Linked DNA regions of Astyanax mexicanus. Each later gene encodes a partner of the first gene's protein in a complex. Links are inferred from orthologs where the notes say so. Each region holds a gene or a part of one and is shown on either strand. Other genes may lie near its edges.

Region 1 (7,385 bases):
GACTTTAAATTACGTTGCACAGGTAGGCCAACGTAGATTTAAAATACCTGCTCAGGACGATCTTTGGTGTTGATGTGTAAAAGCCTAACCAGGGTTTCAAACCCTAGTCAGTTTGGTTGATGAGGCTATTAAAGGATTATATATTTTTTTAAGATTTTAGATGATACAGAGAGATAAATTAATTCCTATATTAGCCTTGTAGCTGCAGAGAAAACTAAAGAAGCAACACTTTGGAAACTAACTCTTGGTTAACCTCTTAAATTCCAGAATGTGCTATAAATGCTGAATAATTCATAATGGTTTCTGCATTAGGACAGATGGTTTGGCATGGTTCTGTACACACAGTCTCACAGAGCATTAAAATAAGCTGTAAGGCGCAGATAACAAGAGAGGATGAAAATTCAACAGCATGTTTCACCCAAACGATTGCATGGTATTGTGGGAATTGTAATAGATTTCAAGATATTCTTTTTCACAGTTCTGGAACTTGTGCTGGACACTTCTCTACCTAAATCAGTGCTCCATCTCTTTGGGCTGTCAGTCAGACTGAAGCAAAAATGTGGTCCATCTGGGTGGTGTCCTCTAGGACTGTGTTTGACAACCCTTTCCCCAAAGCATCTTAAGCACTATCTGAACGGGATTAGTTTCTCAGGGGGACATCTGTGAAAAATATTTCACCCTTCTACTCAGTGATAAAACTCTTACATCCAGACTGCAATTGAAATAAACAGGGGGACCTGTGAGGTTTTTTTTCTCGATAACGTGACACCGCGTTCAGTAGCTCCTCCATTTCCACTCGCTGTTTTGTTTACATGAATCTCCATGGAAACAAGCGTCCAAAGTGTAAATATGGTGCGTGACAGAGGACAAATAGCCATTTTATTAAACTCGAGGTGACGGAACTCAGAAATCTGGACGGGAATAAAATTACTGGAGGACCACGGAGATTAGCGAAAAACAGTAGATAATTCAGCCTGTAATTTTGCCCAAACATGGTCATTCCGGATGTTAATAATCACAGAGGACTCCCCATAAAAGAGAAAATTTCCTCAGGACCCCCCAAAAAAACTAATCCTGTCCGGACAGGGCTTTTGACTGATATTTTTAAAAGACTATTCCTCCAAATTATTTACACCTTCATTCAAGAGTTTGAAATTAACAAAGTGAAGATTGGTTCTATGATGCCTTTCGGAAGGTAGAAGGGTGAAATCCAAACCATTGTGAGAACCAAACCACGACTTTCATGCCTCATTAATTATGACTAACATCTAAAAAAATAAACTTAGAGTTGAGGCTGTTAATTGGCCATTTCAGAGGTAAGGACTAATCACTGACTATCACTGTTTTGGCGACTGGACTTTACTTGAAAAATATTTACGCCTCATTTTATCAAAACAACAAAACACAGCCTACACAACCTAGCCAACACCACCAGCATCACACACAACATCAGTACTGTTACAGAGAGTCACATGACATGAGAGTAATTACCACAATCTCAGTAGAACCAACCTGTAGCAGGGGAGATGCAGTAATCATCATCCACTGACTGTCCATAAATGTCATCATCTTCAAAATCTGTGAGGAAAAGAGAACAGAAGACAAAATTAGGCTCAATTAGGAAAGAGAGATTGTAAAAACATTATTTAAAGCACAATATGTATAGACAATAAATTATATTTCTTTTTTTAACAATGTTTTGGCACACCCGTCAAACCAATTAATTTAAAACACTGCTATTTAAATACTCTTCAATGCAAAGTAAAGTGTTTTTTTTATTCAGCTTTTTTTTTTTTTTTTTTGCTGAATGCCATCCATTAATTAAACACTTTAAAACTCTAATGAAAAGTAGAGCAGGATCGGTGTTCCTTAAGCAATAATGGTGATATCTTTGATATGTATATTAAAGCATATTGTCGATACAATTCCAAAATGAATCACGATACAATCAAATATCGGTTTGTTGCCCAGCTCTAAATACACTCACAGTGTACCAAATGGCATTAAACACTGAGTCAGCTACTCACATATGGCCTGGTCATCAAACCTGTAAACAGCAGCATTGTCTGACACAACTTCAAAACATAGACAATTCATATATTTATTAGATCCACACATAAGTCCTAAACGTTAACTTAAGCTCTATTACTGAAATACTAATAACACACATGCTTTTATTAGCTATTAATGTTCATTAGTTTGCCCAATTTCACCAAAACAGACAATACCATTAAAGAGCATATCTACAACATTAAAATAAAGACAGTTTATATATGTATTAGAGCCTCATATAAATCTTAATCGTTAAAATATGCTTATTTAGTGAAACATTAAGAACACTACTGACTGCTTTTATTAGGTTAATGTTTATTAATTTGCACAATTTCACCAAAACAGATAACACCACAAAAGAGCAGATCTACAACATTAAAATATAGACAGTTTATATGTTTATATGTTTTATATGTTTAACACAAAGCATAAACACAAATAAGTGTTTAGTTAAGCTCATAAATGGACATGTTTCAGACTGAAGTTAGCTAACGGTTGGTTAGCAGATGCAGATAGCTGCATTAGCACTGCAGTAACTTCATACTGCTAAAAATATACTGGCAGAAACGCAAGCAGCGTGTTGTTGAAAGGTGATAAATGTAAGTACAGCTATTCTACAGCAGATTTAAGCACGACAGGAACTTCTACAGACAGTTTATTACATATAAACAGCGGTAAAGTACTGACACGCCATCACTCAAACAATCACACCGGGCCAGGCTAAGCTAAGCTAACTGAGCCACCCAGCTAACCAGCTCTCAGCTCTTATCTCCAGCTTTTAAAACTCGTTTATTGAGACAGCCACACGCACACTAGCTGGTATATAATCTACCTTCGTCGTAGTTATAGCCCCGGACATTCCTGTGGCGAGACATGGTTTATTCAGGGAGTTTTCTGTGCTTTTTCCAGGCTAAAGTTCAGGCATATGCGTCTCACTCCACTGCCGCCATGATTACCCGTCAACGCGGCGAGGGCGCGCATGCGCAGTGAAGACTTTTGGAATAAAAGTCACTTTAATCTTGTTTTTATTAAATTATTTAATAATCAATAATTGCATGTTTTTATGTGTTTTATGTTGCAAAAACATGGTAGACAGTGAAATGATGCCATAAAGTTTTTGGATTCTTCTAGGGTTCCCCAAGTTCTTTCATAAATAGTACATAAGCTCCAGATTATATATATTTTTTTTAAATCTGTATTTACTTTAAACACATATCGTTCCTGTCCAATAAAATACTTTTTTATTATTATTATTATTTATTATTTTTGTTTATTTGTAATTTACTACACAATTTAAACGTACAAAATATCCTTTACATTGTTTAAAAAATAAAAATTGATGAATGGACCAATACAAATTCTCCAAAATGACCTGACAAAATTTTTATCTCTTTTAGATAAATGTAGTGAGCAATTAATTCTTTATCATGATAAATTATGACACACGACAACAACGACAATACAAGTTGTATTTTAGCATTCAGTTTTAGAAATCAGGTCAGCAAAAAAAAACGCCTAATAAAACATAATTTAATTTAAGCATGTAAATTGTTAAAATGGTTGAAACAGACCTTTAAAACCTAAAACACACCTTTAAAAGGTGTCTTGTGGGTTATTTTTAATAACCTTTTTAAATAATGTTTCTTGTACTATTTTTTTATTAAAAAAAACAGACAATTATGTCGTAGTTTACTTAAAAATACAGTGCCACATTTGTGCATCCTTATTATTAAGTTATGTTTAATTAAATGGTAAATACAAATTAAATATTTAATTTGTTTCAGCCACTGGTCTTTGGCTCTGAGACATACTGAGAAATTACCAGGTGGAAAAATCCCCTGAGAGAGTTATTTCCCAGTGGAAACTCTCCCACAGCTGCTGCACCTCATCCTGTCCTGGAAACCACCTTCTTCTCCCCCCCTCTGCCCTCACTTGCTTCTCTCTTCTCTCTTTCTGTCTCTCCAGCAGGACTTTAGGAGCAAAGGTCTTACATAATGTGATGCATCTCACTGATGAAACTGTCATAAATGATTATGCATGCATTCACATTAAATATAAGTCCCACGCCTTGTCTTACTCCTAATACAGATGTATACAAATGTAACACATGTCTGTTTGGGTAGCCTTGCACAAAGCTGCAGTATATGCAACAAACGTGCACAAAAGCTTATTCATATTTTCTTCTGAAATCAAGGGAATTTACCTAGTTCACTGGCTGACTAAAGAGAGAGAGCCAGGAGGTAACATAGACACAAGGGCACCCTGAAACACTGGCATCCATCCAATTTATCATCTACAAACCTCAGAGATTGCATTTATATTATATCCTTAATTCTATAAACACTAGAATCTGCAGCATTTTAACCAAAGGGAAATATAAATTACCAAATCTAAACTAAACAAGTTTATTTTAGTCTACAATCGAAGATTGAGTTTGTGTTTAAATCATTATCTAGAAGCATATATAGTTCCACTACATAGATCAGTGCTGAAGGGCTTTATACCCCTCTAGCTCACGCCTAGCATTAGGCATGGCATAATGCCAAAAGGTCCAAGTTTATCTGTTCCAGAGAGTCCTGTTTTACTGGAAGTACTTCTTAACAAGGTGTTACAAAAGTATGTGGAATGGGTGCAAAAGAAGGGTATGTGCATGGTGCCTACCCTACTTGACTTTACTTTCTCTTTTGGTATCTGGTTCCCAGTTAGTTTTCCACTACCAACCATAGCTTCCAATGGTAGAGGAAACGTCAAGTTGCTCTATGAATTGCTCTTTAAAAGTAATGTGTGATTGCATTATTATGCTATTCATCTCAAGGGGAATTGTTGCAAAAATTTGCAGCTACACATGGCGTAGTCAATTTGAGAGTTTTCAGCGAGATCGGAAGATCGCTGGTTCGAAAGTCATGTAGCTCGCCATCAGCTGCCGGATCCCTGAGAGAGTACAATTGTCCTTGCTCTCTTTTGGTGGGTAGATGGCGCTCAACCTAGATGCTTCTAGGTGACGTCTACACCCTAGATGTAGATCAGCAAAGGGCATCTGTGAGCTGATTTATTGGAACTTTCCTCAGAGCGCGCTGTGATGCTACTCAGTTGGAAAAGAGACTTTACGTGTTTCGGAGGAGGCATGTGCTAGTCTTTACTCTCCTTGTGTTGTGGCATCACTAGCGTTGGGGGATATACAGCTGACTAGCAGATAAATGGGTCGGCCAATTGGCCTAGCTAAATTAGGGGAGAAAAAATGGAAGTGGAAAAAAAAAGTGGAAAAAACATGGCATTGGGCTGTGAAAGTGTCTTTAATGAAGTCTGAAGGTGATCTGCCATTGTAGAAAATTGCAACTGTTGATCTTGGTGCTGACCACAGTCCCTCCACATTCGGGGTCATTGGTCATATCAAACCAATACAAATATGTGACTCATCGCTGAAGATCTGCCATGACTACCCACCTAAATTCATTCCTGTCAAAAGATTCCTTCTGGATGCAAACATTTTTTGTGATGTAAAAAGACAATAATTGTGTTATTTATTGCAATTATTTTTGGAACAATATATCACTTACAAAACTGGTAATTGTGACCGCCTATTTCTAGTCTCTCCACAACTATCCACCACACATTGGTGTCCATAAATACACTGAACATAACCATATAAAGAACCGTGAAATGCTCTTGTTCTCTCCATCCCTCACTCTGTGTAGATTTAGGTCACTCTAAGAAAGCATGAGGCGAGAGAACCTCAAAGCTGCAGTGTTGAGAAAGTGTGTGAGTACTGCAGGTGTCTGTTTTTGTTCCGAGTTAAATTTAGGTCTGTGCACAAGTGTCAAATGTCATACAGATGTGAATGACACCTTTCAGCACAGAAAAAAATAAAACCTGCAGAGGAAGATCAATCACACATACACACTCACACACACAAACAGATACAGATATACTCACACAACCTTGATTCATTTGGCTAGAGTGCCTTGGCAGTTTTTCTGTGTCCATAGTCGATGGAAAGTTTGAGTATTTTTACTCAGGGCTACTTCTTAGGATAAATATAATCAGTAAACGTGATTCATCAGTTTAACCTACAAAAATATTTTATATGGAAAGAAACAGTTAAACTGCTTAAATTCCCTGTAATAAAAACTGTACTTTAAATAAAATGACACACAGCGAAACAATTAGAAACAGTTAGATAAACAAAGCAATACTAGGAAATGGAGAGTTCTGCCTCTGATTGGTTGAACAAATTCAAACCAGTTTTACAATATCTCACAACAACACACAACAACCCAATTTTGGTCGAATTGCTGTAAGGACTTATACAATAGTGCAATAGTGAGAGAGTATTAGTGAGGTCACGATGTTGGATAATCACCACCTCCACCTCATCTCAAACTTCCCAACTCATCCCTAAAGTACTGTATGGAGCATTAGCTCAATACTGGGGTGGCTTTATATCTCTCTACTCTCAATGCCCACACCAATATGTTAATTTTCTGTTGCCAATATACCTCTGCAGTGGCTAGACATACATTTGGACATATAGTGTAAATAAAATGAAAAAGTAAAGCGAAATAATTCTGCTCTTTCATACTACATCATTAATAGGCCTGTTTGGAGTATTTTTTTCCCAAGAGCCCACCTCTCACTGTAGTTCAGGGAGTCTCCCGCATTTTAATAGTGGCTCTCTAATGCCCACATATTATATATGATCATATGTAATATTTGTTTAGGGCCAGCAAGTGAACAAGAGAGGGAGCATTAAGGCAATGGGAAGGAAAGGGGCAAAAGAGGAAGACACATACACACTTAGTGAGAAAGTAACAAAAACATCATCATGATTGGCCTCTTTTTATGCTGGCTAATTGGCTAATGCACACAGTGGTACAGAATTATCCAACTACAGTCTTTTTCTTCTGTATAGGGGTGAAATAATAACACAGTTAAAACAATGTTAGGAACTATGACACCTATCTTACCAACAGTGGGATAAATTAAAGCAGAAATTATATTGAGCTGTTTTTTTGTTTTTTTTTCTGAAGAAGAAGAAGAAGAAGAAGAAGAAAGTTTGAGGTTGAGGCTTTAATGCTGTCTCGCTGAAGTTAGTGTTTTGCAGGGTGGGATGTCTGTCCTACCCACTATTTTATGTGTGTTATCTTTAAAGACTGTCCACATTTCATTTTGATCTACTGATACTAATCAAGGCCTAATAAAAGGCCACCCCTGCTGCTTTACACTGTGGGCAGGAAGCTGCCTGAGCCACAGATAGGAAAACACAGCAGCAGGAGGTAAACTCCGATGTGTGTGTGTGTGTGTGTGTGTGTGTGTGTGTGCCCCTAGTTTCACCT
Region 2 (7,795 bases), on another chromosome or scaffold:
GAGAGTTATGTGTGAACTAATAAGCAGTATTGTTTTTAACTTGCATTGGCCTAGTGAGGTGGAGCTACAGTACACACGATTATTAAAAAAGTCAAAGACTCCCTGAAATCCCTGTGCACAAAGGGACAAGGCCGGCATTCAACACTGGATGCTGGTGATCTTCGAACCCTCAGGCCTCACTGTATTATACTATGTTAACACAGCCCAGAAAATTCTCAGGGCAAAAGTAGGGATGGTACAAATGATCAATATGGAGATATATCGAATAGTATAGTTTTCTTTTGCGATACACCCAACTGGGAAGTATCGTGGAGAATTGTCTTGTGATATCTAGAGAATAAATTAATTTAGACACTGTGTTCTGGAGATGAAGAAGTTAAGGGTCCATCTCTGATGGCAAAATGAAAGCCTAAAGTGTGGCCAGCTTGCGCATCTGGAAAGTCCCAAACAATGCTAAAAACTACAAAGAGCTTTGTTCACCCAGACAATGTCTCTGTCAGCAAGACAATGCTAAAACCATACATTGCATCGATCACAACAGCAGGAATTCACAGAAGAGTCCGGATATTGAACTGGTCTGACCTTTCAACAACAGAAAACATTTGGCACATCAGGAAAGAAAAAATCCAGCAAAAAGGAGGCAGGACTGTTGATTAGCTAGATTCCTCCATCAGACAAGAAATAGGTTAAAATTCTTCACCCCAAAACTCCACCCACTGCTCTCCTGACTTCCCACACATTTACACACTGCTGTTAGAACAAGTAAAGAAACTGTAAAATTGGCTCACTTTCAAAATCGTATATGTGTTCTATGTCCTATTGTGAATAAAACATAAAATAAAATATTACATTTAAAAAAATTATTGCATTACACAACACCAGAGCATTTTGTGTTGTAAAGACATTAAATAATTAAGAATTATATTTTAAGTGCTAAAGGATAAATTGATCAGGATTTATCATCAGATATTAAGGAAACATGCGAGTTAAAGCACTGGCAGCTCTTGTTAGCAGCACTTCAGGCAGTACGTGACTATTTATGTAACTCCAACTAGGGCTACTATGTTTTAAGAAATAATTAAAGACAATTGTCAATTATTAAGAGGTGCATTGTTTCTATTACCATGGCCAAATACTTGTACTCAAAAAACACAACCCTTTAAAAGGCCTGTAAAAATAGTTTGTAAAAAGCGATAAACTGAGGAAAACATAATAGTCCCTAGTCGGGACCATATAAATCTGTACAGCAGATCTACTGTACATTCTAATCTTCTGTATTTTGCAACTAATTGTAAAAATGTGTCTCTCCTCAAAGTCAACCCCGCTCTTATGTCTTTGTGACAACCCATCTAATCAGAAACACATCAGTCTTCATCAGAGAGAGACGTGTGTTAAAGCAGCAGTCCTTTAGGGCTTTTATTTTATAATGGAAAGCAGTAGTGTTTTTGAGTGGGGAGAGGGCAAAATATTATATTCCTGCAAAGCCACATAAAGGCATTCTAAAATCAGAGTGTCTGGTAGGTCCTGTGACCTTTTTCTGGCTGTAAAAGATTTTGACGGTTTCCTGAGCAAACATGGTGCTGCTAATGGTTCTGATACAAGAGCTACTGTGCACTCGATGGAACCAGGAAAGAAAACTCACTCTACATCTGCTCATTCACATATCATTAAACCACAGAAACACAGAATCAAGGCTGAAGAGATAAAAGACAGCAAAATCAGAATCCTAGCCAAAATCACCAGATTCATTCATTTTTTAAAAGAGACTGCATCACAATCCATGCTTTAACCCTTGTGTGGTGTTCATATTTTTGTTACTCGTTTACTTTGTTACTTGTATTTAATTCAGCAAAATTAAGGCATTTTACATTAAAATGCTTTACACATGCTTGCTTCACCTAAATTGCTAGCAATATAAACTGCTTACATGGTTAATATTTGCCCTTTACCTTTCTTATGTTACATTTCATTCAAAAAGTGCTACTCTTTTTTTATTAGTTTTTTAATAAAATGTAAAAGAAAATGAATTAAACTCAAGATATGAGTAGAACATTTGTTTAGTTTCAAATTTACAAAAAATGAGCCAATGCCAATGAGTTTGAGTTAGAAAAAAACATTTTGTGTGTCATTTGATGAAAAATGAAAACGGGTCCCACAGACCCGAACACCACACAAGGGCACAGTTTTAGCATGCTTGGTGCAATTACACTTTCCCACCAAGGACTTACAGACTGGCACTATAATTACAGAATATTGTTGGGATTAATACAATTAATATTTAAGTGATTGACCCCACTACTATAAATACCACAAATCTAACATTCCACAAATCTAACATTAATTCTTCTATGTATTAATGCTTAAATATCCACTTTTAAAAGCTTAAGTCTTAGAAAAAAGGAAGACATGATTGATCGTAATCGAGATTAATCATAGAATACTTTTCTGATTAATCTGATTATCTGACAATGCAATTTCCACGTTGTTATCAAGGGGCGTGGTTGCGTCGATCAGAGGGGCGGGACAATGTTGACAGTGGGCGTGGGCAGGAATACGGTAGCCGTCAGCTTTAGACTTTCAGTCCTATCGGCTAAATTAGAGCAGAACCTGTGTAGTAATCACCCAAAATCACATTGAGTAAGTAAGAGCTGGTCAGAGGAGAGCTGTTCAGAGAGGAGCCGATAGAAGATTATTTACATTAATTTAGGTTTGTTTGATTTGAAAGAACAGCCGGCTGAGCTCTCTCGCTCTCTCTCTCTCTCTCTCTCTCTCTCTTTCACTTTCACTCACCCCGCATTATCCTTCTCTATGTCTTTGTGGAGGAGCTTCATGGTGGCTCAGACGGTCCTGTAGTTGTGGAGTAGCGCTGAAGGGTGTGGGAGAGGGTTAATCCAGAAACTCGCTGTGTGTTGGGAGATCTGCTGCTGGGAGTTTATCTGCTGCCATTCTCTCCACACTCACTCACACCGACTCAGCAGCGTGGGGCGCGCGTGCAGCGTCATTCAGCGGCGACGCGGCTCTGACCCAGCAGCAGCAGACTCACTTAAAGGGAAAGTCCTGCTTATCCTGCCTTTCCTTCAGTAAATGCAGCTCTCTGCTAATGGTGCTTCGGGCTTGTATATACGACGGTTTTTTTAGGGCCGTATTATTACGCGAATAAAGTTGTAATATTACGAATAAAGACATAATAATAATACTATAAAGTTGTAATGTTACGAGATTAAAGTCGTAATATTTCATTCAGTAAATGCACCTTTTAAGTGATGTTTACGTTATATGTGACGGCATGTTAGGGCCATAATATCATGAGAATAAAGTCGCAATATTACGAGATTAAAGTCGTAATATTACAAGAATAAAGATATAATATTACGAGATTAAACTCGCAATATTAAAAGAATAAATGAATAATTCTGTAATATTATGAGAATGAAGATGTAATAATAAAAGAACAAAGTTATAATATTACAAGATTAAGTTGTAATTTCACGAGAATAAAGACCCAACATTAAAAGAATATATTTGTAATGCTACAAGATTAAAGTCGTAATATTACGAGAATGAAGATGTAATGTTAAAAGAACAAAGTTATGTTACGAGATTAAAATTGTTATATTTCCTTCAGAAAATGCACCTTTTGACTGATGGTGCTTCAGGATTGTATATATGACAGCATTTTAGGGCCATAATATTGCATTAATAAAAACTATGAGATTACAGTTCTAATATTACAAAAATAATGTCTTAATATTACAAGATAAAATCATAATATTTCAAGAGTAAAGTCATAATATTACAAGAATAAAGTTGTAATATTACAAGATTGAAGTCGTAACATTACAATAATAAAGTCATAATGTTAAACAAAAATACATTGTAAAGAACCATAATTTTATATATACAGTTATAAGGCTTAGGTCCAACTGTAAAAAAAAATATATATATATATATATATAATATAAATATTAATATTATGCAATGTGTGACAGTTTGTGTCAGTTTGAGTGTATAAATGACTCATATAAGACCTGCTTTAAATCTGTAACACAATATAAAATTAAAATAGCTGGTCTAAAATAATAATAATAATAATAATAATAATAATAATAATAATAATAATAATAATAATAATAATTACAATGTTTCAGAGTAGGCAGTTTATATTATGAAATATAATAGGTATAATACAAATGTAATAATATACCCAAATTACACTTGTATGCAAATTATGTAAGTTATTTTAACATACTATTTGAAACATCATTACAAATCAAAACTATAATGCAGACTTAGATGAGCTCAGAAGCATACATAAACAGTGTAATCAGTTTCTTGTGCATATTTTAGTAGCATCCGCAGGACCATGTTGTTTAAGTTTCCCATATGGTAATCTTTCACAGGTATATAATCAGCATAGGCGTAGGAACCGGGGGGGATGGGTGGGACATGTCCCACCCAATATTAGAAACAGGTGGATTTGTCCCCCCCAAAAATGATATCAGTTCGCTCAGGTCAGCTGTACTATTAATGAGGAGACAGACCGGACCAATCACGGAGCCGGTTCAGGTATTAAGTCACGCCTCTCAGTAGAAACAGCCAATCAGCTTGCTGGTTTTGCGGCGCGCGGAGCAGAGGCAGTTTGCTGTTGGGGAAGCCCCGCCCCCTCGCTGTGAGATTTAGCAGCGGGATCGGGACGCAGCAGCTTCAGCTGATTTTAAAACAGATATGGATATACGGAGATTTTTCTAAAAGAAAGGTAACGATAGGCTAACCACTTCAACTGTGATGATATGTTTCTGATAGCTGGTTAAAAATACACGTCTCTGAATCAGCACACAGTTTAAACCCACTGTGATTAATAAACTGCAGCTGTGTTAGTGTGTAAGCTTATCTTTGGAATTAGCTAGATTGGGAGTCAGGGTTAAAGGAAAAAAATAAAATATATATGTAATGTTTCCCTGTACCTGATCAGCTAATCACTTTAATTTTCAAACTGTTTATTCATTTAGGATTACAGGACTTACTGTGAGCTATAATGAACGAAAATTGATTTAACTAACTAGTTATCTAGAAGCTGGATGTAGATGATCGCCAGAATTTCGTACAGTACTTTAAGTTGGTAGTTTAAAGCAGTTACTTAACCCCGATCACTGCCCTAAACTAGTGTTTTCCACCTGATCAGCTAATAAACAGTCATTTACTGAGTTAACCTGTTAAAATCCTTTAAATTAATCATGTATATCCACCAGAGGAAGCTCTAGAACATGCAGAACAGTTTTAATATGCAGTAGAATATATAAGAACTGGGTTGAGAAATACTGCTGTAACGTGACTTCTGTTCATTTGTAGTTCACAGTAAGACCACATATCATGACGTTTATAAAAGTCTCTATGAAACGTAAAGTTACATTCTTTTACATAAAAGGACACCATCTTAAGAAGAGCTCTCATTTGAAAAAAATAAAAGTGCAGGAGAAAATGTAAATATACAACAGAATTGACATGCCAATACATAATAATAATAATAACAATAATAATAATCTGTTATATTATTTTAAATATTAGGTGATAACTCAGACATTGCTTGCATAATTTTTCTAACAACAGTAGCTGTAATGTGGAGTAACATGTTTAGGTTGTAAAATCACCTTATAATAATAATTTACTTTTAATTTAAAGTAATTTCCACAAATTTTGTTCTAGGAAACTATAGGGTGGGCTTGGGTTCATATTGGCAAATGTGTCCCCCCCAATATCAAGCCCGCTCCTACGCCCTTGATAATCAGTGTTGGGAAGTAACGGATTACATGTAACGGCGTTACGTAATCAGATTACAAATCCGTTACAGTTACTGTTTCAGTAAGTGGTAATCAGATTACAGTTACTCTGCTAAAATAAATGGATTACATTGCGGTACTTCCCTATTTTTGGTCTTCCAATCCAACACTGACAAAACGCAATCACATTCACATAAATCACGACATCAGAATATTCTATGTTTCACAACCTTCGATCAGAATGTTTTCACAGCAGAAGCGCCCCCTAGCGGGCCCGTCGGCGGGCCCATTCTGACTATGTAAAGTAGAATGCTTAAAGGCGTAAAATATTCTAAACACACCGACCAACTAACCAACTCATATTCTTTAGTATTACTTTAACTACCTGCACGCAAATTTACATCTACATGAAACCAGTCGCCAGAAATCTCCAACTTGAAAACAGCCTGTATTTTTACATTGTTTACATGTGAAACACGCCTCCCCAACAAAATAGCCTTATAAAATATTATTAATATGTGAAATAACATCATATAAGATTATAGAAAAATCACTTACTATCACAGCATCCACAATACAGCACTGAACCGCAGGTAAAATATCCATAAAGTCCTTTATTCTCCTGCTCACTTCTCCTCACAATCATGCGTTTAGTTTCAGCGCAACCGCAACGTCATATTCTCAAACTCCTAGCGACCACACATGTAATGTTTTCACGTAAAGTTGTACGTGAATACAAAGCTAAGGATGTCCTCTTGTCGATTCTGTGGTTTTTATTGGTCCACAAACCACTATTTTTCTTGAGTGATCGTCTGAACCAATAACGTGAGCGCTGGATCAATCCAATCCAATCAAATCAGGTCATAGCCTTTCTCCAAGGTCACAAAAGTGATTGACACCTATTTCAACCAATAGTCCACCCTTAGACGAAAACACTGGTACGTAATTTGCCCTGATTGGTCTCCTAATGGCTGGGGGTGGGGCATGCCTAACAGCTGTCACCAAAATGCCTCTGGTAAACAAAGGTGCGCCCACAGCGCGCATACGTCATTTCATCAAAAAAATATTAATATTACTCTGACATAGACATTAATTTATTTTATCACAAACAAACAAAAATATTACAAACTGTTATTGTATAGTGACAGATTTACTTGTGTATCTTGAGAGGTTTTGAACACTTTGGAGACGCCTGGTGGACACCTAATATAATGCAGTGGAAATCTTTAATGCATTGTGCTATAAATGACCAATTTTGTAATTTGTTTGTCAAGACCCTACTGAATCAGGAAATGTAGAGAATGATTGAATATACATCACCAACATCCATACACACATTGTTAACTCTAATTATAACAGGCGCTTTTTTTATTTATTTTGTTTTACATTTTCTTCTGCATTTGATGTTCTCAAATGGAACCTAAAGAATGAAAATTAAAGTGTTGAAGTGAATGATTGTTTACTTTTTATGATTACACTGCAATTGACATTTAATAATAAAACATTCAAATTATATTTTGTTTGCATTTGGGAGTTCTTAGAAAAGGAACAGATTGTAAAAATCGTATTGAACCGAATCGTATCGTATCGTGACATAATTTGAGGTATCGTACATTATCGTATCGCTGAATAAAATAATCATATCATATCATAATGAATCTTGTGATTTTCACCCCTAGATAATCCACCTGCAGAAAGTGGCAAACCTGCAAATTAATAGCTTACAGTTGTTGTTGCATTGTTTGGTTTTTAATGGTTTTTAATGATTTTTTCATCAATGTATAGAAGTGTTTCATAAAATAGTTTGATGAAATGGTTTCATAAGTATTTTTATAGGGTGATTAAAAAGGCTGTTTTATTTGTTTCTCTATTTGTTACCTGGAAAGAAAAATAAAAGGATAATGTGCAATATGTGGTTGCTACATTCATTCAGGCTTAAAAAAACGACAATATTGTAAGTAATCCAAAGTAATCAGATTACGTTACTCACTTGAAGTAATGTAACTGATTACGTTACA

What was found.
Region 2: hbs1l (region 1) and pelo share a complex: the UniProt entries of both Homo sapiens proteins name them as parts of the pelota-HBS1L complex. The link is inferred for Astyanax mexicanus from reciprocal best matches to the Homo sapiens genes HBS1L and PELO.

What each region holds. Positions count from the first base shown.
Region 1 is NC_064420.1:44,408,617-44,416,001, forward strand, and holds the start of hbs1l (HBS1-like protein), read right to left. Parts: upstream 3,026-7,385; 5' UTR 2,928-3,025; coding exon 2,885-2,927; intron 1,579-2,884; coding exon 1,513-1,578; intron 1-1,512. UniProt on the Homo sapiens protein: GTPase component of the Pelota-HBS1L complex, a complex that recognizes stalled ribosomes and triggers the No-Go Decay (NGD) pathway.
Region 2 is NC_064422.1:3,551,640-3,559,434, forward strand, and holds the start of pelo (protein pelota homolog), read right to left. Parts: upstream 3,004-7,795; 5' UTR 2,832-3,003; coding exon 2,791-2,831; intron 1-2,790. UniProt on the Homo sapiens protein: Component of the Pelota-HBS1L complex, a complex that recognizes stalled ribosomes and triggers the No-Go Decay (NGD) pathway.